3 linked regions of the Caenorhabditis elegans genome follow. The protein of the gene in region 1 purifies or fractionates together with the protein of each later gene. This does not show direct contact. Each region holds a gene or a part of one and is shown in the gene's direction. Other genes may lie near its edges.

The links. The genes of interacting proteins can lie anywhere in the genome.
Region 2: the proteins of cpn-3 (region 1) and oig-2 fractionate together in Caenorhabditis elegans (co-fractionation; one large-scale study listed by BioGRID). This does not show direct contact.
Region 3: the proteins of cpn-3 (region 1) and unc-60 fractionate together in Caenorhabditis elegans (co-fractionation; one large-scale study listed by BioGRID). This does not show direct contact.

The regions. Positions count from the first base shown.
Region 1 is NC_003279.8:3,984,359-3,990,425, forward strand, and holds cpn-3 (Calponin-homology (CH) domain-containing protein), read left to right. Parts: upstream 1-3,581; 5' UTR 3,582-3,619; coding exon 3,620-3,670; intron 3,671-3,717; coding exon 3,718-3,854; intron 3,855-3,903; coding exon 3,904-4,108; intron 4,109-4,160; coding exon 4,161-4,196; 3' UTR 4,197-4,341; downstream 4,342-6,067. Other genes in the region: aars-2 (Alanine--tRNA ligase, cytoplasmic), read left to right, coding at 1-450, 501-1,176, 1,247-1,799, 1,853-2,026.
Region 2 is NC_003280.10:13,004,504-13,011,330, reverse strand, and holds oig-2 (Ig-like domain-containing protein), read left to right. Parts: upstream 1-3,166; 5' UTR 3,167-3,167; coding exon 3,168-3,277; intron 3,278-3,321; coding exon 3,322-3,412; intron 3,413-4,546; coding exon 4,547-4,672; 3' UTR 4,673-4,718; downstream 4,719-6,827. Other genes in the region: F18A11.5 (BTB domain-containing protein), read left to right, coding at 1-109, 163-320, 427-565, 677-778.
Region 3 is NC_003283.11:1,471,752-1,481,685, forward strand, and holds unc-60 (Actin-depolymerizing factor 2), read left to right. Parts: upstream 1-3,334; 5' UTR 3,335-3,387; coding exon 3,388-3,390; intron 3,391-3,560; coding exon of another isoform or gene 3,561-3,656; intron 3,657-3,809; coding exon of another isoform or gene 3,810-4,036; intron 4,037-4,089; coding exon of another isoform or gene 4,090-4,189; intron 4,190-4,249; coding exon of another isoform or gene 4,250-4,321; exon of another isoform or gene 4,322-5,033; intron 5,034-5,130; coding exon 5,131-5,217; intron 5,218-5,587; coding exon 5,588-5,700; intron 5,701-6,199; coding exon 6,200-6,286; intron 6,287-7,451; coding exon 7,452-7,620; 3' UTR 7,621-7,825; downstream 7,826-9,934. Other genes in the region: F53E2.2 (Actin-depolymerizing factor 1, isoforms a/b), read left to right, coding at 3,388-3,390, 3,561-3,656, 3,810-4,036, 4,090-4,189, 4,250-4,321. UniProt on the Caenorhabditis elegans protein: Depolymerizes growing actin filaments in muscle cells; required for the assembly of actin filaments into the functional contractile myofilament lattice of muscle.

The DNA.
Region 1 (6,067 bases):
TGGTTATTTCAATTCTCGGAGAGACTTTCCCAGAACTCAGCCGTGATCCAGTGACCGTCATGGATATCATCAACGACGAGGAGAAGCAATTCCTGAAAACGTTGTCTCGTGGACGTGTTCTCTTCCAACGCGCTGTTCAATCGCTTCCAGAAGGAACCATGACGTTCCCTGGAGATGTTTCATGGAGACTCTACGATACATATGGATTCCCAGCTGACTTGACTCAACTGATGGCCGAAGAGAAAGGATTGTCTGTCGATAATACTGCTTTCGAGGAGGCTCGCAGGAAAGCCATCGAGACATCATCAGCTGGAACTGGAAAGTTCCGTGACACGCTGGATTTGGATGTTCACGCATTGGCTGAGCTTCAACAGAAGGGAGTTCCAACTACCGACGATTCGCCAAAGTACGCTTACACGTTTACTGGAGAAGGATCCGATGCTGTGTACAGTATGTTTTTTGTTTGTTTTTATGAACTTGTAATAATTATTTTTCTTCAGAGTTTGAGCCATGCGTTGGAAAGATTCTTGCTATTCGCCGAGACGGAAAGTTTGTCGATCAACTTGCTGCCGGAGAAGAAGGAGCCATTCTTCTCGATCGGACAAATTTCTACGCCGAGCAGGGAGGTCAGATCTACGACGTCGGAGTTTTGACAAAAGTCAATGACGAGTCGAACGAGTTCAACGTGAGCAACTGCCAAGTTCGTGGTGGATACATCGTGCTTGTTGGATCCGCCGAAGGAAGCTTCTCAGTCGGTGATCAGGTCAACGAACGATTCGATGAAGACCGGAAGCAACTGATCATGAAGAATCACACCGGAACTCATGTCCTCAACTATGCTCTTCGCAAAGTTCTCGCCGATTCGGATCAGAAGGGATCACTCGTTGCTCCAGATCGTATGAGATTCGACTTCACCAACAAAGCTGGAATGACTGTTCAGCAAGTGAAGAAAGCCGAGGAATACGCTCAACAGCTGATTGACACAAAAGGACAAGTTTACGCCAAGAACTCGCCACTTGGAGAAGCCAAAAAAGTCAAGGGACTTCGTGCGATGTTTGATGAAACATACCCAGATCCAGTTCGTGTTGTCGCTGTCGGAACTCCAGTTGAGCAACTTCTCCAGAATCCTGATGCAGAGGAGGGACAGAACACGACTGTCGAGTTCTGCGGAGGAACGTGAGTACTAATTCTTTTTATATTTTATGATGATACCCGTTAAATTTTGATATAATTTTTATAATTTCAGCCATCTCCAGAACGTGTCTCACATTGGCCGCATTGTCATCGCATCGGAAGAAGCTATTGCTAAAGGAATCCGTCGTATCGTTGCATTGACAGGACCAGAAGCTGAAAGAGCCATTGCCAGAGCCGATCGACTGACTGCTCGATTAGAAGAAGAATCGAAGCATGCCGATAAGAAGGATGAGCTCTTGGCCAACAAGGATAAGTTCAAGGCTCTCCAGAAGAAGATTCAAGAAATTGTCGATGAAGCCAACGGAGCTCAGCTGCCATACTGGCGAAAGGATTCTATCCGTGAAAAGGCAAAGGCCATTCAGAAGACTTTGGATGGATACACAAAGGCACAACAAGCCGCTGTCGCTGAAAAGGTTCTTGGAGAAGCCAAGGAACTTGCTGCTGTCGCTGAGCAGCCTACTGTTCTCGTTCACGTCTTCGCCGCCAATGCTAACAGCAAAGCCATCGATAATGCTCTGAAACTTCTCAAGGACACAAAAGCAGTTATGGCTTTCTCTGTGAATGAAGATTCTGGAAAAGTTTTGTGTCTTGCTAAAGTTGATAAGGTGAGAAATTTGAAATTTTGAAACAATTCAGAAAAATAATATAATTTTTTCAGAGCTTGGTGAGCAACGGCCTGAAAGCCAACGAGTGGGTGAATGAAGTTTGCACAGTTCTCGGTGGAAAAGGTGGTGGAAAGGACGCAAATGCTCAGCTCACCGGAGAGAATGTCGATAAACTTGATGCTGCCGTCGAACTCGCCCAGAAATTTGCCCTTGCTGCAATCAATTAATTTCCCCAATTTTCAATCTATTTCCTGTTTTTCATATCGCTTCCTTTCCTCTATTTATTGTTGTCTGTTGCATTCTAGTTCATTGCTCTCCCTCCCCGTCATTATATTTATTTCGTATTTCTATTTTATGTTTCAATTTGTTTGCTGGTTTGTCGAGGTTTCAAAATGTTTATGCAGTAAATAGAGGCCAAACTTTTTCCCATTTCACGAAAACAACAATTTTGAGTGGGTTGGACGCGACAGCTGGACAGCTGCTCAACTCGCGGATCAACAACACCTCGATCGATTTCAAAAAAAAAAGTACCTTCGACTTGTCAGCCAACAAGTTTCGAAAGATTCTGGAGATTTCTGAAAGTGACGTGGCATTACACTTCAGACATCTCTAATTTGTGGCACAGCTATCTGAACATTACAATGGACAAAAATGTGAAGAACAACAAAAGAAACGGAACGGCAATGAATTCCAGATGGCGATGAATGTGTTTTACGGAGGAAAAGAGCAGATTTTTGCAATTTTGCAGATTAGAAAAATGATTTGAGAACAAATTCCAGACATATGCTTAAGAGATAAGTTTCTTGATTCCCGGTCGTGTACTGCTCTGGGACAATCAATTGATAAAAATATTAATATATCTATCCAATATATTCAATTATATATCCAAAAAGATATATCCAATTGAATTCGGGCGATTTTTCGTGTTTTATCATGAATTCTCTTGTTTTTCTAATGAAAATCGATAGTTTTGGACACAAATTTTATAGTTTTTTAGAAAATTATAAAATTTCATTATAAAATACGAAAAATCGCTTAAAACAGCCTTAAATTCAACAATTAGTAAATTAATTTAGTTGTCCGAGAGGAGTACACGGTTTGTCCGAGAGGAGTACACGCTTTGTCCGAGAGGAGTACACGGCCGAGAATCTATGAAATTCATTTCCGCGCGAAATTCGAATTAAAAAGTCTCAGCGGATGATTTCTAGATATTTGAAGGGCTATAACAAACTTTTGAGAGAATTTTGTGATGTTTTGCTTATTCACATGGCCCTGTCAATGCATTGGCTCCATTTTTAAGTCCGGCAAATGGAAAAAGTGGGTTACTGTACAACTTAAAGGCGCACACTATTTTTCGTCGATTATGGACTATTTCGATCGTGGCAAGAGCGGTAACCCTATTTTCGGGAGAAAAACACTGAAAATATTGGAAGACAAGAACTTGGAATTCAAATAATTTCCGGTGTAAATCGTGACGAGACCCTCTTGCGCCTTTGAAGTCTCAGGTCAGACGTTTCAACTTGAATGATAATCTCTGATATTTCAATGAATTTCAAAATATTTCGTTTTACACCGTAGAAACAAGTGACTCAGACCATTGGTCCGTTCGTTTCACCTCTCGCCACCCACCACTTCAAAACACCACGTCAGCAAATCTCTCCCCCGCAAGAGACTCCAGACGCACAATTGGTTCCCCCGAGCCATCTTCCTTCGGGAAGCTCCCCCGGTGTGGGCGGAGCTTGAGCATCTGATAAAAGCAAGGTCCGACGCGAGGAGAAGCTCATTGTCATTCTTTTTTGACTATCCCCCTTCTAAACACCATGGCCAATCGCACCACCGCCGGAGGAATCGGATTCGCTGTCCGCCAAAAGGTTTGGTGAATTTCAGTGATTTTGTTAGGCTATTCTTCATTTTTCAGCAAGACTCCAAGTTCATCGACAAGGAGGCCACTCTTCTTCTCGAATGGATCAAGAAGCTCTCCGGTGAGAACATCTCTACATCCGGAGAACGCGACAACTTCCACAACCTTCTCAAGGACGGAACCCTTCTTTGCAAGTGAGTTTTTGTTACCTAGTATTGTTCAACAAAATCTTAAAATTTTCAGAGCCGCCAACGGAATCGAGGCCGGATCAATCAAGAAGGTGCAAAAGCCGATCTCGACCTTCGCATGCATGGAGAACATCAACGCATTCGTCGAGTTCGCCAAGAAGCAGGGAGTACCAAATGAGGAGACATTCCAGTCTGTGGAGCTCGTCGAAGGACGCGATCTTTTCTCCGTCTGCGTCACTCTTCTCTCGCTCGGCAGAGTTGTAAGTTTATCTAAAATTTGACTTCAAGCTATAAAAATTGTAATATTTTCAGCTCCAAAAGGCCGGAAAGACCAACCCATTCGCCTAAAAACCAACCCATCCAACTCAAGAATTCCAAAAATGGCCAAGCCCTTGCAATGTTTCACCCGATACCTTCTCATATCCTAATAATATGATTTTCTTCTTTTCTTCTTTTTTTGTTGTACAAAACAAAATAAAGTTGTTTGGTCAACAAAGCTCGATTCTTCTCTCTTTTCTGCCTCAAGTCAGTGACTGCTCTGATGGCACGCAGCTGTTCCAAAGATGTGTAACGTTTCTCTGGTTTCTATACGCCGGGATGTGATCTCTAGTGGGCTTCACAGCAAAAACATTAATGGATTATTTGGGGGCGAATGGCGAGCACAGATTTTGCTCCGATGGCGCTCGGCAACTAGTGATAGGTTGAGGTGGTGTTGCAAAGTATGATGACAGTCGGAAGATCATAAGATTGATCATACAACTTGGTAGTTGACAATAAGAATGAAATTTCTTGTGGTTGTAGAGTTGGTAAAACTGCGCGTTCTAAATAAATTTGACGATCTATTACCGATCGAGGTTCAGGCACGGCAGGAAATTTCAATACTGGAACTTTTCGAGTTGTATTGTGCAAAAACACAATTTTCCAAGAAATACCATATTTCTTCTATTACTTTTGCACTGGCTTTAGGACATCTCTGACGTTGAAATTTTTAACTTTGTAGGGTAAAAAATAACTACTGGATAATTAATAAAAAAAACTTTAAATAAATTCTTCATTACGAAAGAAGGAGCCTAACTTTAATGAACATTAAACAACTCACGATGTCTCTATTTAAATATTAAATAGAGCACATCTAAAAGATTTTTTTTAATTGAACGCACTGACTTTGAGTTAATTCAAAAACTTTTTTTCAAATTTAGCTTCATCATTTTTGTTTTAGAGATATCTGCCAAAATAGCAGTAGGCAAGAGTCAGGCATGAATGTGCCTACGTGGAATGCTGACAATTCTCTGGTAATTTCCTCATTTTTCCAACAATCAGTCCACTTTATTATCAGTCAGTTAAAATTTCTACTTCCCTTGGCTCTACTCAAAGTGCCAATCAAATGAGGAATGCTCTATTTACAAATGTATTTAAAAATTGCAAATGTTCACTAGTTTTCGGTCTTCATTATTTTTGTTTTCTCTTGTTTTTTTCGGTTCCAATTTTTGTTCTTACCAGCGTGGGAGTATCGAAAGCTGTGAGCCAAGTGCAATAATGTCACCTGATCTGATTTCTCAAAACATTCAAAAAACATAAAGCAAGATCCCATCGAAAATTGCAAAGGGAGCTTTCAGAAGAATACATAAAATTATGTAAAACACCACATACGTACTCTATAATTATCCGTTATGTTATTGCAGTTTCAGCGTTGTTTCAGAGGTGCGGAGTATGTAAGATTGTAGAGGTAACTGAGTGTAAATTAGGTGTTTGGTCGCTTTTATCTGGTGATTAAAATCAGTATACTTATTTCAACAGGTACGGTTCTTAGGATTTTAGTACTATAGTTATTTAGAACTAAATTTAAAAACCAGTGCACATTTGAAATTCCCAATTCTCCACAGTTTTCAGTTTAAAAAAATTTGAAAACCAGTGCACATTTGAAATTTTATATTCTCTATAATTCTCGGTTTAAAATATTTTAAAAACCAGTGCACATTTGAAATTCTCAATTCTCCACAGTTTTCAGTTTAAAATATTTTAAAAACCAGTGCACATTTGAAATTCCCAATTCTCCATAAATTTCAGTTTAAAAAAATTTGAAAACCAGTGCACATTTGAAATTTTATATTCTCTATAATTCTCGGTTTTAAATATTTTGAAAACCAGTGCACATTTGAAATTCCCAATTCTCCACAGTTTTCAGTTTAAAAAATTTTGAAAACCAGTGCACATTTGAA
Region 2 (6,827 bases), on another chromosome or scaffold:
TCGAGATCCTAAACACTTTGGGAAAGTTCTCAATTATCTCCGTGACGGGGATCATTTTGTGGCGCCATCGGACACAGAAGCCTGCGATGAGCTGAAGAGAGAAGCTCATGTAAGTCGTCGTGGCGAAACCCAAACTTTTTTTCAAAAAATGGAAACATTCAGTTCTACAACATGCCGTTCCTCGCCGAAATGTGTATGCCGATGAATGTCGACGTGGCGGATGTTGTTCAGTGGAAGCGTGACGCGATTGAAATCTATTGGCGCCCGTTTGTCCGTTATATGGTTGATGATTCGCTGTCACTTCCGTTTATTTATGATAGGTAGGTAGGCAGGTAGGTAGGTCTTCTTCAAGATAAATAGATCTGCAAATCAAAATTTCAAGACACTTCCAAACTTCCGTAAAGCATTAAGTCTCTGATTTTCCAGAAACAACCACACCCTTGCCCGTTGCATAGCATGTGAAGAATTCCAAGATCCAAAATGCTCCTACCTTTTCGACATCAACTACACTGCGTGGGAACCGATGCGACATCACATGTATAATATGACGGGAGAAGTCACCCAGGTACGAGGATTATGACGTTTTACATAGATTGGGGGGATATGGCAAGTAATAAATATTTTATTGGCGGTGGTGGCCAGGAGCTGAATAGAGAATGAGATTGTTGAATTGCAGTTGATGGGCGAAAACTGCTGCATTGTTGCCTGGGACAATGGTCAACAGATTCATTTGCCAAAGTCTGCGCTCAGTAAGGTTCCAGGAATGCTGCATCAGTGATCAAGAAGAAGATACTCGAAAATATAATGATTCCAAAAAATAAATAAATTATTTATATATTTCTAATTTTGCATTGAAGTTTAGGCTTGGGCTAAGACATAGGTTAGGGTCAGGCTTGAGCTAAGGCTTAGGCTTAGGCTTAGGTTCAGGCTCAAACTCAAGCTTGAGCTTATTCTCGAGCATTTGAAACATTGTTCGTGTCGAAACCAGGTTCCGTGTTGCTTCTGAAACTTTGATGTTCAAAAAATTCTGAAAAATATAAAAGTTGCAAAAATATTACATTCAATTTGTAAAAAAATTAATTTCTGAAATTTCAAAAAAAAAAGAACTGAAAGTTTATGTTTCTGGAAATTTCAAAATTTTTAATCCAAAATTTTTAGAATTTCAGAACTATTTCTTGAATGTTGTTTTTTTCGGAATTTTCAAATTTCTAGAAAATTTAAATACTTCTGAAACTGTAGTTTTTTGAATTTTCAGAATATAATGAATATCAGAGGTTTTGAATTGTTAGTTGTTTTTAGATACTGAAATAATTTTTGGCGATTTTCGGCTTTCAGAATTTTCAGAATATTTTGATTATTTGAGGTTCTGAATTGTTGGTTTTTTGAAAGATTTTTCCATGAAACTTTTTTGCGATTTTCTGCAAAAATTCCCACGAAAAATCTCAAAACTGGAAGGTATAAATGCGGTGACAAATATTAAAAAAAAACAATTCTCTGATTCCGTACAATTTTGCAAAAATTTCCAGCAAAGCGACAGGTATCTTCTGATCTCATTCACTTCAAGTTAACGTCTATATTCTTTTCAACTCAGCGGGCTCAAGTCCTCTTGTGTCTTTTATAATTACATGTAGCATTAGGTTTCCACAACGACCACGTCTCCGTGCTCTTTTTGAAACACCCATAATTTACATTCCATCAGACAGCTCGATTCTGATTGAAGTTTTCACTTTTTTCGAAATTTATGTATTGCTCCCCCCGGGTTACAAGCATATGTATAGTCGATTTTGAAACGATTTTGTTTCACTGAAAGTTTAAAAAAATGTTTTTTGAAACCTAGAAAAATGTGTTTTTTATTATATTTTCCCCAGAGTTGCATTTCTTTCTAGCAAATTAGAATGCCCAGAGTAGTTCAAAAAAATGTTTTGCCCCTTGTCTTTGTGATATCTTTTTCCGTACCTTCCTCCAAACTTCTCACCACAACCATTATATGGGCGGAGCCTAATAAACCCCTCCTGTTTCACAATTCAAATTTCCAGGTACATCATGTCATCAAAAGAGCTCTATAGACTCAAAACTTTCGACGATCACTATTTCGAAATGTCCACCGAATCAATCGGAGATCCTCTCCCAGATGGCAAGCCAAGTCCAACAGGGAAAAGCTTCCAACTATGTGATACCAGTTCCGAACGTCAAAGGAATTACCATGAAGATGGTTGTCACCTGGTGCATCCGTCATCGAGTCGAAGTTCCGAGCACTTCTACGTGGGAAGTTGACTATGTTAAATCATTGGATCGAGAGGAACTGAAAGATGCGATATGGGCCGCCAAGTATCTTCGAATGCCAATTCTTATTAATATTACTAGTTCTGAACTGTTTTTGCGAGCCGAAAATACACCGGTAGAGAGGTTAGATGAAGTGTATCCGATGCCGCACTGTGTAGGCAGAGCTCCGGAGAGAAGCACCAAAATCACCATTCACAAATTCAAATAAACTTGGATACAATTATTTTTGTTTTCTTTTAGTACTCAGTTCATAAATATATTAAAGTGGGATCCATCTTCGTTTTTTAGTGATTTTACAAAAGTTTTATAGTAGAAAAAAACAGAAAATAAACTGTTGCGTTCAATGCTGAAACATTTTTCAATGTTTGAAATGATAATTTTATTCGAGATTTCCAATGAATAAATAACTTTTCATAGAAGGTAGTTTTGGGAAAAAAAATTGGAAATTTTCGCGTCCAGAAAGTATGGAGTCCTATCAATGACTGAAAATATAAAATACTCTATAAGAATAAGAAATTGATATGTTAATAATCAGAAAAATACAATAATTAAAAAAATTCATAGAATCAAGTGAATTATTAACCAAAACTTTAATTCTATGCCATTTCAATTGCTGTTCATCGCGTGTATCGAATTCATTGACTTGCTTTGAACCAACAAATCAATCAATGCCCTCAACATTTTTCTCAATATTATTAAACATGTTGGCTTCAGAAAAAAGTGCTCTTTCATCTCCCTCCGCCTACTCATCTCTCCATCTCTGCCCCTCAAATCTCTCAGCTTCCGTCACCTGTTACTGACGGAATTGATCAGTGAGAAGCTCTTCGAGCGTTTTCATTACATATGTTCAGCCATCTTATTAGTTCTAAAAGGTTAGTTTCAGAATGGTTTTGGCTCCGTTTTTCGAGAAAGCTCCATCGCTTATCATTGCTCCAGACGGATCAGTTCTGTTCGAATGCATCTGTAATGCGAATCCACAACCAACAGTTAAATGGTAAAAGATTTTGGTTTATGAACCCCTAACCTTAACTACTGTAGGTTTTTGAAAGACAAAGAGCTGACTGGTGATCGTTACGTGTCAAAGATCAAGAAGATGGTTGGCAAGTTCACAGTTACACTGCATATCAAGGTAAGTAAGATTTTTGTAATACTGATAAACTGATCGGGATTCTAGATTAAGAAGAGAATAAGAAGAAAGGAACGGATAGAACACTTGATCTGGTTTTTAGAGGGAAACTTAAATTGTAAGAACATGGTGTAATATTGACCTTCGAAACACTTGCCTCGAGATTTTGTTTCACATTTATTTTAAAGTAAAAAACTTCAGAAACAATTTATTGACCTAGAAAATGTCGGCCATTCTTTTAAAAACCGTTCCTGGAAAGTTTGGGATGGTCTCCGGCAGGAACAAAAATTGAAAATAGGCTATACAATTTCGGAAAGTTTTTTTTTTCATTTATCGGAATCGAACATATATTTAAGGGCTGTGCGGTATTTTTTCGGCAAACCCACAATAATGTTTATTTCAAAATGATAATCCAACTTTTTTCATGCAAAATTAACATAGAAACGTAGAGAAAGGTTTGTTCTATCTGGAAAAAATACAAATTTTTTTGAAAAGTTTGAAAAAAAAGTTCAAATAGTGTCTGAAAGTTGTCGTTTGTCTAAACACTTTTAACGGCACTTTTTTGGCAAACGTCAACTTTCATGCACTATTTTTGATTTTTTAAAATTTTCCAACAAAAATAAATATGCACCATAACTGGCTAGATTCACCGTCGATGCACCATATCAAGTTAGATGCACCGTAACTGGTCAAATGTACCATAACTAGTTAAATGCACCATAACTGGTTAGATTCACCGTAACTGGTCAAATGTACCATAACTTGTCAGATGCACCATAACTGGGTAGATTCACCATCGATCATCAGCATAATTCACATACAATTTTTTTGAAATTCAGCTCAAAAATGAAGCTTGATGATGAAAATTAGGCAATGGGAATATTCATACTTTTTGAAAATAAAATTACTTTATATTAAAAATTTCAAAAAGTTGCTAAAAAATTGCCTCAATGCCGTAACACCCATCGGCATACTCACTTGGCACATTTTAAATCAAATGCCAATTTTGATCACTTTTTCATAATCTTCACTAAAATAACGCTATCTTCTAAAAGTACAAATACTTCTCTATATTTTCATATGAATTTCCAGAAATGAGCATTCTAGATAAGTTAATAACAAAGAAAATGTTTCCAGAACCCTACCCAAGAGGACCAAGGAGTTTACAAAGTGACTGCTACAAACACCCATGGCTCACACTCCGTTGAGCAGCAGTACATCTACAAATGCACTGGAAAAGAGGTTTTCAAGACTCTTGACTAAATTCTGCTAGATTTCTTTAATATTTCTTCCAATAAACTTTTCCGTCGCTATACTGTATCTTAATATCACTCGTAGAAGAAACAACGTGGTTATCATGTGATAAGAAGGTCAGAAATAGAGAGAAAAGATGTCAAAAATACTAGGAATTTTGAGTGTAGAGTTCAGAAAAACAGATTGAACAAAAAACGAAGTATACCCGATCAGGGAGATCGGTTTTTGGAAGGAAATAAAAATGATCACATGTGCAGAATAGTAAAAATGTTGATTGAGAAAATTTTGTTGGCGACATGTTGGAGTCAGATCTGTTCGAGAGTTCAAGTTGATAAGAATTCTAGTTTAAAAGTTTAGACTTTTGGTTTGGACATCTGAACTACAGGCTGATAGTTTAAACTGTAGGTACAGAATAGTATGAAAACCGTACGAGCAAACTTTGATGTCAATTTCCTTTGGTAAACATTCAGAATCAAAGATGGGAATGTTTGAAGACTTTTATGAAGTGTGCCAAATATAAAAGTACAATTTTTCAAAAAAAAAAAAAATTGAAAATTTTAATTTTGCGGCAAAAAGTGGCGCTAATTTTGTCGCCTAAAGTCTGAACAATGGCCAACTTTTCTATTAATTCATTGCATATTATTATTTGAAAGTTTTGAACTTGCGGCATTGCTACAAATTTCATATTAAGCTCAATTCTATGTAGTTGAAAATTTGACAATTTGCCAAAACTTTGTCATTAGGGGGAAAATGTAGAAAACTACTTTTCTGGTGTCAAAATGACCGAATATCATAAAAAACGGTTGGATATTTTTTGAACATTTATTGAATTTTTAAAATTTAATGTCAAAAATTAATCAGTTTTTGCCACTCATAATTTTAGAAGTCGACCAAAAAAAATGTTCTCTACATTTTTTACACTGTAGTTTTGTTTTAATTATTTTTATTAAAATATTGTAGGGGTCGGAAAATGCGACATTATTCTGGATTTCCTTAAAAGCACATATTTTTCAAAATTTTGGCAATTTGCCAAAACTTTGACCGGAAAGCATGAAAAATCTAAAAACTTAGTGTTTTCATATGATATCAGATCGTCTTGAATCATTATAGTTTTTAAGACATTTCTAATAATTAGATTTTTCAAAATTTTCAGTTAAAATTTTGGTAAGTTACCCAAAAAAAATGTAGGCTTTTTTTTTTAGTAATTTAGAGTATTTTGCAAATTTGAACCACTGTAATCTACACACAATTCAACCATAATTGAAGTGTAAATGTTGTGGAAACAATAATTATTTTTGATTAACCTCTAGGTTTACATAGATTAGGCGAAAACTGGAAAACGAAATTTCAATTTTTATAAGAAAAATTTTACATTTTATCACTAGACAAGCGGTATCAAACAATTGGATCAAATGAATAGCTACATTAAGAAATATAAAATTAGACCTAAATCATAACTATCAGTTGAATCTAGCTTTCCCATATAGGCGAAAAACCTACCTCAAGGCCTACAAGGCAGGCGTAACTTGTGTTGAAAATGCCTACAGACAGAACGCGTATTAAAAACATAAAAATTGATTTTTTTTAAATGAATATAACACAAAAGTCAATAAACATTGAAGACTGCACAAAAAATTGTTTACCAAGTTTGATATTATCAACTTTGTCAGTCTCAGCGCTCCTACAAAATTCCATCACAGTATTATCAAAAGGTATTTCAATAAAAAAAAACCGTACTCCAAATTTCACTGTATCCATCACACTCCTCACTATTTTTACTACCACTCATAAAATCAGATGACTACTACTACTACTATCAACAATGGTGGCGGCAGTTAAGGAACCAAAAAAAAGTTGAAGTAAAGCACGGACATCTCTGTGTGCAGAAGATTCCAATCAAAACCGTATAACCGAAACCATATCCTTTATTCTCACAGTGTCTGCGTCTCACCGCTTCCGTCTTTTCCATATCTCAATTTCCCTATTTGATTTATGACCGTTTCGCGCGAAATCTTGTCTGCCACGCCATATTCTCTGGTGGAGGGAGGAGTGGAGTGTGTGAGGGTAAGGGGGGAAACAGTTGAACCATTTTGCAGCTGTTTCAAGTTGGTTGGTTTTAGGATTTAGTTTTTTTCAACTTGGAAACCTCCACTTTATATTCCAT
Region 3 (9,934 bases), on another chromosome or scaffold:
TTTCATCGGGTCTCGCCACGAAATCAACATTTTTGAATTCAAATCCGCTGAACACTTTTTTGTCATCTTTTTTTTGTTTCTCCGTCAATTTTCGCAATTTAAACGCTTTTTTTTTTCATTTTTTAGCGGGAAATTTATTCGAAAATTGTTCTTGTCTGCGGAAATCATTCACTTTCCCCATTTTCCCCTTTATTTTGCTAGTTCCTCCCGTTCTCTCTGCTTTTTGTCGAGTTTTTCATGAAATCTTCGCAGATTGCTAAAAAAATTGCACTTTTTTATTTTATTCATCATTGAAATCCATTGAATATGTTCAGCTTTCGTCACGTCTCACTCATTTCCGGTGTCTCCTCAAATTGTTTTTTTTTAGTTTCTGTTTCGAAACCTCCACTTTTTCTGTTCGGGTCCCATGGCTATTGCGAAATACTAGAAATCCCCCTAATTTTCAAGGACCGACGATTCAGAAAGAAGGCGCAGCAGCGGCAGTGACGAAGGCGACGGCCCATTGTGTCAATCGATGGGGAAAACGAAAAAAAAAAACGAAACGGACAGGCGGCGCGCAGCGCGGGCGCTCCGCTTCTTCACCGCTCTCTGGGTCACATTTGAATGAATCAGTCGCGTTTGGGCGCAACATCGGGACGTTTTCTGTTCGTTCGGTCTATTTTCCCCCGTTCTGTGATCGCTTTCATGTCTGAAAAATATATGATTCATCACTTTTGTTCTGTATTGTTTTAGATTCCAGAATTTTCATGTGTCATCATCCATTTCTCGTTGTCGACCTTATTTTTCTCCATTTGAATTTTTCCTCTATTGACTGGGCACACCAACAGCCGGATGGACGGGGACACTCTTGAGAAGTGGGGTCGCGGCGGCGGTTGTGTAGTGTAGTTGAGGAGGACACTGCAGCAGTGCCGGAAGATGCGACGATCAACGACTCCGTGTGTCGCACATTACAACATCTGGCACTTCGACATATTCCTCAATTGATTCTTCTATCCTCTCTCGTTTTGAGAAACCATTTGACTGGCCTTCGTCGTCTGACGAACTGAGCCCGGCGACGACAATCAATACATGTGTCTGTCTCCATGAGAAGTGTGTGAGTGACACATCGTTCAAACACAAGATACGCAGTCGTACTGTCCTTGAACAATTCTCACAGTCGTTCGTTTTTTCATAATTTTGTAGCTAATCATCAGTTTTCCAAATATTTCGGCTGCTTATTGGGAGACCATTTAAAGGGGAAGTAGAGTTTGTGGCTATTTTAATTAAATCGACTAAAACTGGTCCATTATCCAAAAATGTTTATGGCCGGTCAAAATTTCGAAAAAAAGAGCCAAATTTTGCTAAAATCTGAATTTTCTCAAACTTTTCTTTGTCACAGCCGCTGGATTTTAGTTTTTCGGAAATTATCACCCTTTGATCCTTAATTTGGTAATTTATCTCGCGGAAATTCGTTGATTGAGACAACTTTTAGGCCGATAGGCATACAATTTTTATCATTTTTGGATGCCCATCGGCTCAAAAAGTGTCTCAATCAACGAATTTCCGCGAGATAAATTACCAAAATAAGGATTAAAGGGTGATAATCTCAGAAAAACTAAAATCCAGCGGCTGTGACAAAGAAAAGTGTGCGAAATTTCAGATTTTAGCAATAGTTGGCCATTTTTTCGAATTTTGGCCGGCCATGAAAAATTTTTGGAAATTTTTTGTGAAGTCTCATTATGAAATTCGGTGATTTTGGACCAGTTTTTGTCTATTTAAGCAAAATACTACAAACTCTACTCCCCTTTTAAATTAAATCGTCCGAGTTTTCTTGGACTATTTAATATTTTTGCATACGAAAAACACTGTCTTGAAATACACTGTCAAATTATTATACTGAGCGACTAGAAAAGATTCTAAAAATAATTCTCAAGATGACTAATTCATTTTTTTATTTCTGAAATGAGCGTGTCTTATTGTTTCGCAATTGCTAATGACTTTGACTCCTCCCACGTCGTTGGCGTTTTTGTTCGTTCCTCGATCAATTGGTGGCTCCCTCACAGTCAATTTGCCCTTTCTCTACGCCCACGCAAACCATCTGAACACTTCTATGCTAATAATGCTCATTCCGACTTGAATTCAAGGAAAATGATATGTTTTTTTTCTCACTGAACTTTCACCCGATGTTGAAATAACCCGAAAGTAGAGAATATGTCGGGGGGGGGGGGGGGGGTAGTAGATGGGCGGTGTAGTTGTCTGCGCGTACGCTAAGTGGAGATTATACGCTTCGACTGTCTCGTAGCACCGAGTTCCTTTCGCTAATTACTCTCATCAACTATTGTTTCCACTGTGTGTGTGTCCTCCTCCGGGTATGTCCTTTTCGTTTGCCCCTTGTTCAAAGCCGAAATCGATGTTGTTTTCAATATTTTTAACGTCTGGAAACAATTCAAAAATTGTTCCAAACCCTCTCCGTCATTCTCGTACCGCCATGCGCTGACTCATACACCGTCGTCGTCCTCCTCGTTGTTGTGTACAACACAAAAACGGGTGGTTTTCTAATCTTTCTCCTTCCCAGTTGATACCATAGTGTATATAACGTACTCCTCGATGCTGAATGATGATTCATACGATCAATAGCAGTGCATTCCTACTTTTTTCTAATTTTGTCAGTACTTTCTAGAAACTGAAGCCCGGGAGAAAGTGCAAACGGATTCACCACTAGGTAGTCCGTATCTGTTTTTTTTTGGTATTTCGGGCAGAGCAAGTAAGGTCGGGGGACAATGGTGTGTGTGTTGCACATGGCGAATGTTTGCTCGGTTCTCGCTATTTTCTCTCTTCACTCTCTTCTCTACCAGCTCTTCAGATCGTTCACTCTCTCTCTCCGGGAGGGGACGGAAAAGATGACCATTCGGGCTGGGTGCTGCTGCTGCTGTTGCTGCCCGTTTCATTTTCTCTCCGCTCCCTCTCCTCTACTTGTCACTATCTCGCTCTATCTCTTCGTCTCTTCATTTTCCTCGTGTCCCTCGTCCTCGTCTATCTAAGCGGACGCGCTCGCACAGGCAAGCACTCTGACTGGCGGTTGTGTTGTTGGGGCTGGGGGTTAGGCCGAAGGGACGGCCCCGTCTCTTTTTTTTTGCGTCTTTCTCATCCTGCTTCTGTGCCAATCACAATGGACTTTCTTGGCTCTTGTTCTCTCTCTCTCTCTGTTTCCATCACTTTACCAATTTACCTCACACTTATGACCCTTATGACTCTTATCTGGGTTACACTTTTTCTTTGTGTTGAGCTTCTTCACTATCGTTTTTCCCTTCTCGTGATTCGATTATTGATTGATTAAAATCATTTTTTCTTGCAGGAAACTCAACTTGATTCTATTTCCCCACCACAAACCAACAACAACATCTCAAAATGGTGAGTTTGAGATTTTAATTCGCTTCAATATTTTTAAATTGAAAGAAATTTGGAATGTTATGTTTGGCGTGTTTTTTTTTCATTGAATTTCCAAAATTTCACACTAAAATGGAATGGTTTTCTCTTCTTTTTGCCTAACCTAACCTAACCTATGTGTGCCTGTTTTCTAGAGTTCCGGTGTCATGGTCGACCCAGATGTGCAGACATCTTTCCAAAAGCTCTCCGAGGGACGCAAGGAGTACCGCTACATCATTTTCAAGATCGACGTGAGTTTTTAAAAAATAAAATCTGAATCAGATCAATTTAAAAAAATTTCGTGCCACTTTTTGTTTTTTTTGTTGAAAAATTTGAAAAATCCTCAAATTAATTGTTTTAGATGAACATTATTGATTTCCCTATTAAATTGCAACATTTTCCAGGAGAACAAGGTGATCGTGGAAGCCGCGGTGACTCAGGATCAGCTCGGCATCACTGGAGACGACTATGATGACTCTTCCAAGGCCGCTTTCGACAAATTCGTCGAGGACGTGAAGTCTCGAACCGATAATCTGACCGATTGCCGCTACGCCGTTTTCGACTTCAAGTTCACGTGCAGTCGTGTTGGAGCCGGCACGAGCAAGATGGACAAGATCATCTTCCTCCAGATGTAAGCGCTTGATCCTATTGGTGAATTATTGTACCATCTAATTTTTTTTCCAGCTGCCCAGATGGTGCTTCTATCAAGAAAAAGATGGTGTACGCTTCGTCCGCCGCCGCCATCAAGACTTCTCTCGGAACCGGCAAAATCCTTCAGTTCCAGGTGAGAAATCTCGATAATTTTTACAATTAGAAAAAAAAAATCAAATTATTAAAATTTCAGGTGTCTGACGAGAGCGAGATGAGCCACAAGGAACTCCTCAACAAGTTGGGCGAGAAATACGGAGATCACTAGATACACGGGTCTCTTCCGAAGTCGTCGTCGCCGTCACATCCTCGATTATTCTCGTCTCTGTCTGTCGCATTTTCTCCATTGCTTGATGATTTCTGATCGTTTTCACGTGTGCTCTTTGAATGTGCTAGTGCGTTGTTGTGGTGCTTTTTTCTTACCAACCTCACTACTTGTTCATTTTTTTTGGTGTCCTCAAAGAATCATCCGTTGAAAACATGACTGCGGCGATGTGTTTCGATGATGTTTCTTAAGCGTCTTCTTCACATTTTCACCTCTTAACATTGCTAATTTATCCTCTATTTTTATCTGTTTTTTTCCTGATTGACGATTGTTTTTTTCCTGGGGGCAAGTGATTGTGTGTGCCCACTAATTTAATACAATGTGCCGGGTAACCTTCCGTACTATGAAGAAGTTGAGACATCCCCTCAGATTCTCAGTATCTTTATTGTTTAGTGAAATGCGTGGTAAATCCCTTCTCATTTACGATTATATTCTCTCTCTCTTGTAAAGCTTTCTATATTTATATAGTGTACTTTCCCCCACTGGAACTCTCAATCTCCATCTCCTCACCATTCTTTTTTTTTCAAATCTTCTATTGCGTATTCATTTCCCTTCTTACTTTTTTCCCACCCTGCCCGATCCCCTTGAAGAATCACCCACCAAACCGTTCATGTGCTGTGCTTTTTAAGATTATCACAATGAAATCAAGTTTGGAGTTTCTAACAATTGTTTTAACACGCGTGGAAAATTTTGAAAGGAAACAAAAATTGACATAAAAACCAGAAAAATATTACAAACACCTTTGAGTACAGGCTTCCGGAGTCAAAGTTGATCCATCCTGCAAGAACGCCTACGATCTTCTCCACAACAAGCATCAGCACAGCTACATCATCTTCAAGGTGAGTTATTCTGCGAAAAAAAAAATGCGTACTGCACAACACATTTGACGCGCAAAATATCTCGTAGCGAAAACTACAGTAATTCTTTAAATGAGTACTGTAGCTCTTGTGTCGATTTACGGGCTCAATTATTGCAATTTTCTTTATAAATGGTTTCCGTGAATCGACACTAGCGCTACAGTAGTCATTTAAAGGATTACTGCAGTTTTCGCTACGAGATATTTGATGTATTTTGCGCGTCAAATATGTTGTGCAGTACGCATTTTCAGAGTTTTCTGTTCCCGTAATAATTAAATAATTTTCTAAATTTGATTTTTTAAAAATTTAAAAAATAAATAAATCGAAAAAAAATAAATCAAAAAATAATCAGATTGACAAAAATGACACCGCCATCGTCGTCGAGAAGGTCGGAGAGAAGAATGCTCCGTACGCCGAGTTCGTTGAGGAGATGAAGAAGCTTGTTGAGGACGGAAAGGAGTGCAGGTAAGCCTAAGCCTGAGACTAGGCCTGAGCCTAAACCTGAGCATAAGCCTAAGCCTAAGAATAAGCCTAAGCCTAACACTAAGTCTTAGTCTGAGCCTAAATGTCGCGTGTATTCTACGCGAAAAGTTGTGTTTTTGCGCCAAAATACGGTGCTAGGTCTCGACACGACTAATTTTTACTAGTTAAATGAATGCAGAGAAAAGAAGGTGTGCGTCTTTAAATAGTACTGTAATTTCAAAATTATTGTTTCCATGGAATGTTTTATTATCGAAAAAAATTCACATAAATATTAAGAAACTGTGAAACATTAATGAAAATTTGGCAGCAATGGAATTTTGAAACTACATTACTCTTTAAAGGCACATATGATTTTGAATTTAACAAAAAAGTTTCGTGTCGAGACCAGTTGGTGCAAAAAAACCGCAAAATTTCTTGTCTGGATAATTATCAAACAACAAAACTCGTCGGAAATCTCGATTCAATTCATCCTTTTTTGCAGATATGCTGCCGTCGACGTCGAGGTTACTGTCCAAAGACAGGGAGCCGAGGGAACCAGCACACTCAATAAGGTCATCTTCGTTCAATAGTGAGTTTCAACATTGAAATATTACACATACACGTGGTGCCAGGCTGTCCCATTGCGGTTTGATCTAGAAAAAATGCGCGATTTTTTTCCCAAAGAAAATTTGACGTCAGCACGTTCTTAACCATGAGAAATCAGTTGAGAACTCTGCGTCTCTACTCCGGCTTTTTTTGTAGATCTACGTAGATCAAGCCGGAATGCTCGAAATTGTCCGCATTTTTGCGTTAAAAAAACGGTAACACTATAATTTCGCAGCAACGAATGTTTTAAATTACTGTACTCTTTAAAGGCGCATACCTGTTTGAATTTAACAAAAATTTGTCGTGTCGAGACCAGATAGCGTAAAATTTCGCGTCTGGAAAATCTAGAAAATCGTCCAAACAAAAAACCAAGAAAGTTGATAAAAATGAACGAATTTACTGAAATTCTCGTTGGAAAAGTCGGCCATCAACTAGGAAGCCTCGGCCACCAAAAAGTCGGCCATAAACTAGAAAAATTCGGCCACCAAAAAACCGGCCATCAACTAGGAAACCTCGGCCATCAACTAGAAAACTCGGCCATCAACTAGAAAACCTGGGCCATCAAAAAGTCGGCCATCAACAAGGAAAAGTCGGTCATAAACTAGAGAAACTCGGCCATCAACTAGGAAAACTCGGCCATCAACTAGAAATACTCGACCAGCAACTAGAAAAACTCGGCTATCAACTAGGAAAACTCGGCCACCAAAAAATCGGCCATCAACAAGAAAAAGTGGGCCATCAACTAGAAATCCTCGGCCACCAAAAAGTCGCCCATCAACTAGGAAAACACGGCCATCAACTAGAAAACTCGACCATCAACTAGAAAACCTCGGCCATCAAAAAGTCGGCCATTAACTAGAAAAAGTCGGCCACCAAAAAGTCGGCCACCAACTAAAAAACCTCGGCTATCAACTAGGAAAACTCGGCCACCAAAAAGTCGGCCATCAACTAGAAAAACTCGACCATCAAAATGTCGGCCATCAACTAGAAAACCTCGGTCATCAACTAGAAAACCTCGGCCATCAACTAGGAAACCTCGGCCATCAACTAGAAAAACTCGGCCACCAAAATGTCGGCCATTAACAAGAATCTCTTTAAAAAAATTTCCATGTATTTCCACATTCCACTTCCCAAACTCCTATTTTCAGCTGCCCAGACAACGCCCCAGTCCGCAGACGTATGCTCTACGCCTCCTCGGTCCGTGCTCTCAAGGCGTCCCTCGGACTCGAGTCCCTCTTCCAAGTACAGGCCTCCGAGATGTCGGACCTCGACGAGAAGAGCGTGAAGAGCGACCTGATGTCCAACCAAAGAATCTAAGCCTGTCCAATTGAATCCCAATCACAAATTACAATTTCTTTCTGGTACTACTAGTCTCTCGGACCATCCAAGCCCGTCAAAAATGTGCCTTTAACTTTTTTTTTCTTGTTAAATTATGACTTTTCTTGTCTGTAATTCTGATTTCCCATTTTCTCTGGAATTTTTAAAAAAATATTTTTCTTTTAATAAATAAATCCGTTCCTTCAGAACATGTCAGTTGTTGTTTTCCATGACGTCCAGACGACAAAAAACAATAAAATCAATTACCCATTTTTTCCAGAGCCCCCAAGAGCCCTCAGATGTTATAGAGCACAACACACCCCCCGAGAGCATCTCTTTACTTTTGACCTGATGCCACTCGACTTGTGCTCACCGGCTCTCGGAGCACAAGCAGGAGCACAAGTTATGCTACTTTTCTTCGAATTTTGTTTGTTTGTTTCGAAACTTGAAACGAACAGCACGAAACATTCTTTTCTTTGGATAATTTTTAAAAATCGATTTTTTTTCGAAATCCAACAGAGTTGGCCCACGGGGTTCTGGCCTTCCTCATTGAATTTTTCGCGCTCCATTGACAATCGCCAGCCAAACAACGCCTGGGGAAAGTCGTGTACTCCACACGGACAAATGCATTTAGAAGTAAAATTTCTCACGACGCGACACGCAACGCGCCGTAAATCTACCCCAGATATGGCCGAGCCAAAATGGCCTAGTTCGGCAAATTCTTCCATTTCAATTTATTAGGGAAGCCAGAAATCCGTGAGTTGGCTTAGTTTTGTTCAAAAATCAGTTTTCGTAGTGTTCTGAAAACGGAAAAAAACATCGCGTTCCATTTGTTTCCCGTTGTTTTTAGATTCGTTTTTTTTCGCAAAAAATAATGGGAATCCTTTTCAAATAAATGTTCTCCAGATGCGGTTTTTCTGCATCATTTTTTCTAAGAAGAACACATAAATCTGATGTTTTTTCTGAGTAGATTTCAAGGTTTTTTTTTGCCATTTTGTGGGTTTACTTTTTTCTCTTGTCATCCTCCAGCCAAAGCCTAAGCCTGAGCCTAAGCCTAAGCCTAATTCTAAGCCTAAGCCTAAGCTTGAGCCTATGCCTAAGCCTAAGCCTAAGCCTAAGCCTAAGTATAAGCCTATGCTTAAGCAGAAGCCCAAGTCTAAACCTATGCCTAAGACCTAGCCTATGGCTAAGCCCAGGCCTAAGCCTAAGCCTAACACTAATTTCTTCCTGACTATTTCATCAAAGAAAACTATTGAAAAATGGTTGGCCGTGTAATTCCACGACCATGAATTTCGAGAACTACTGTACTTTTTTTCAGAGATAGTTGTTACGTGCTCTATCCGTTCGGCTCTTCAGTAAACAATACATATCGCAATATCCGTCATATTTTCAATAGTTCGGCTCTTTTCTGTGTACCGACATGCCTTCTTCTTATCCGATTGAAAGCTCAGACACTCTCGCAACACACACACACACAACCATTTCAATACGGATTTTTGATTTCTTAACATTTTTTTTTCTCGCTATCTTATATTACTTCCCTAGTATTTTCTGGCACTGGGCCAAGTGATGCTCGTATGATGAGCACAACATAGTTTTCATCCGTCCCCCCCCCCCATTGAGTTTTATTTTATCTTTTCGTTTTTCGTTTTCCATGAGCCCCATTCCCAACAACAACAGCTGACTTTTCGTCAAAGTCTCTCCGGATCTAGTGATCTCTAGGGCTTTGTTGAGGTGAAAGGTCATTGAAAGTTAAATTTTGTGGGAGAAAAAAAGGGTCTTGTGACGAAAAGGGATGACTAGGGGAGGTATCAGTTCTTTTGTTTGCTTTGGTATATATTTTGTGATTGTTCATTTAACGATTCTCATCTGGATCGGCTTTGATCGTTCACAAATTGAGTTTTGATGCTTTCCAGGTTGACACCTTATTTATTTGATACAAACATGCTAGTTTTCCTCAAAAACGTCGTATGCCATGACAACCTTGCGTCCATTCTTTTTGATATCTACCAGCTTCTATTTTAAAATTACAGAAAGTTTTTTCAGTGAAGCAAAACTAGTGTTACATGCAACCTATTTTTCCTCCAAACTTCAAACGATATATGTTTGATTCTAATTTATCACGATTAACTAGGTTATGGAAAACTTTTTGTCATTTTGTTTGGATCTGTTGCTTTTTTTTTGGCAATTTTCGGGCAATTTTACATGAGATTTTACCAGATTTTGGTTGTTTTATTTTCATTTTTTCAGAATTTTTTAATTTTCTGGAATTTCCTTCTTCTCTCTTTCTCCCAACGCCCAACATAAGCCTGAG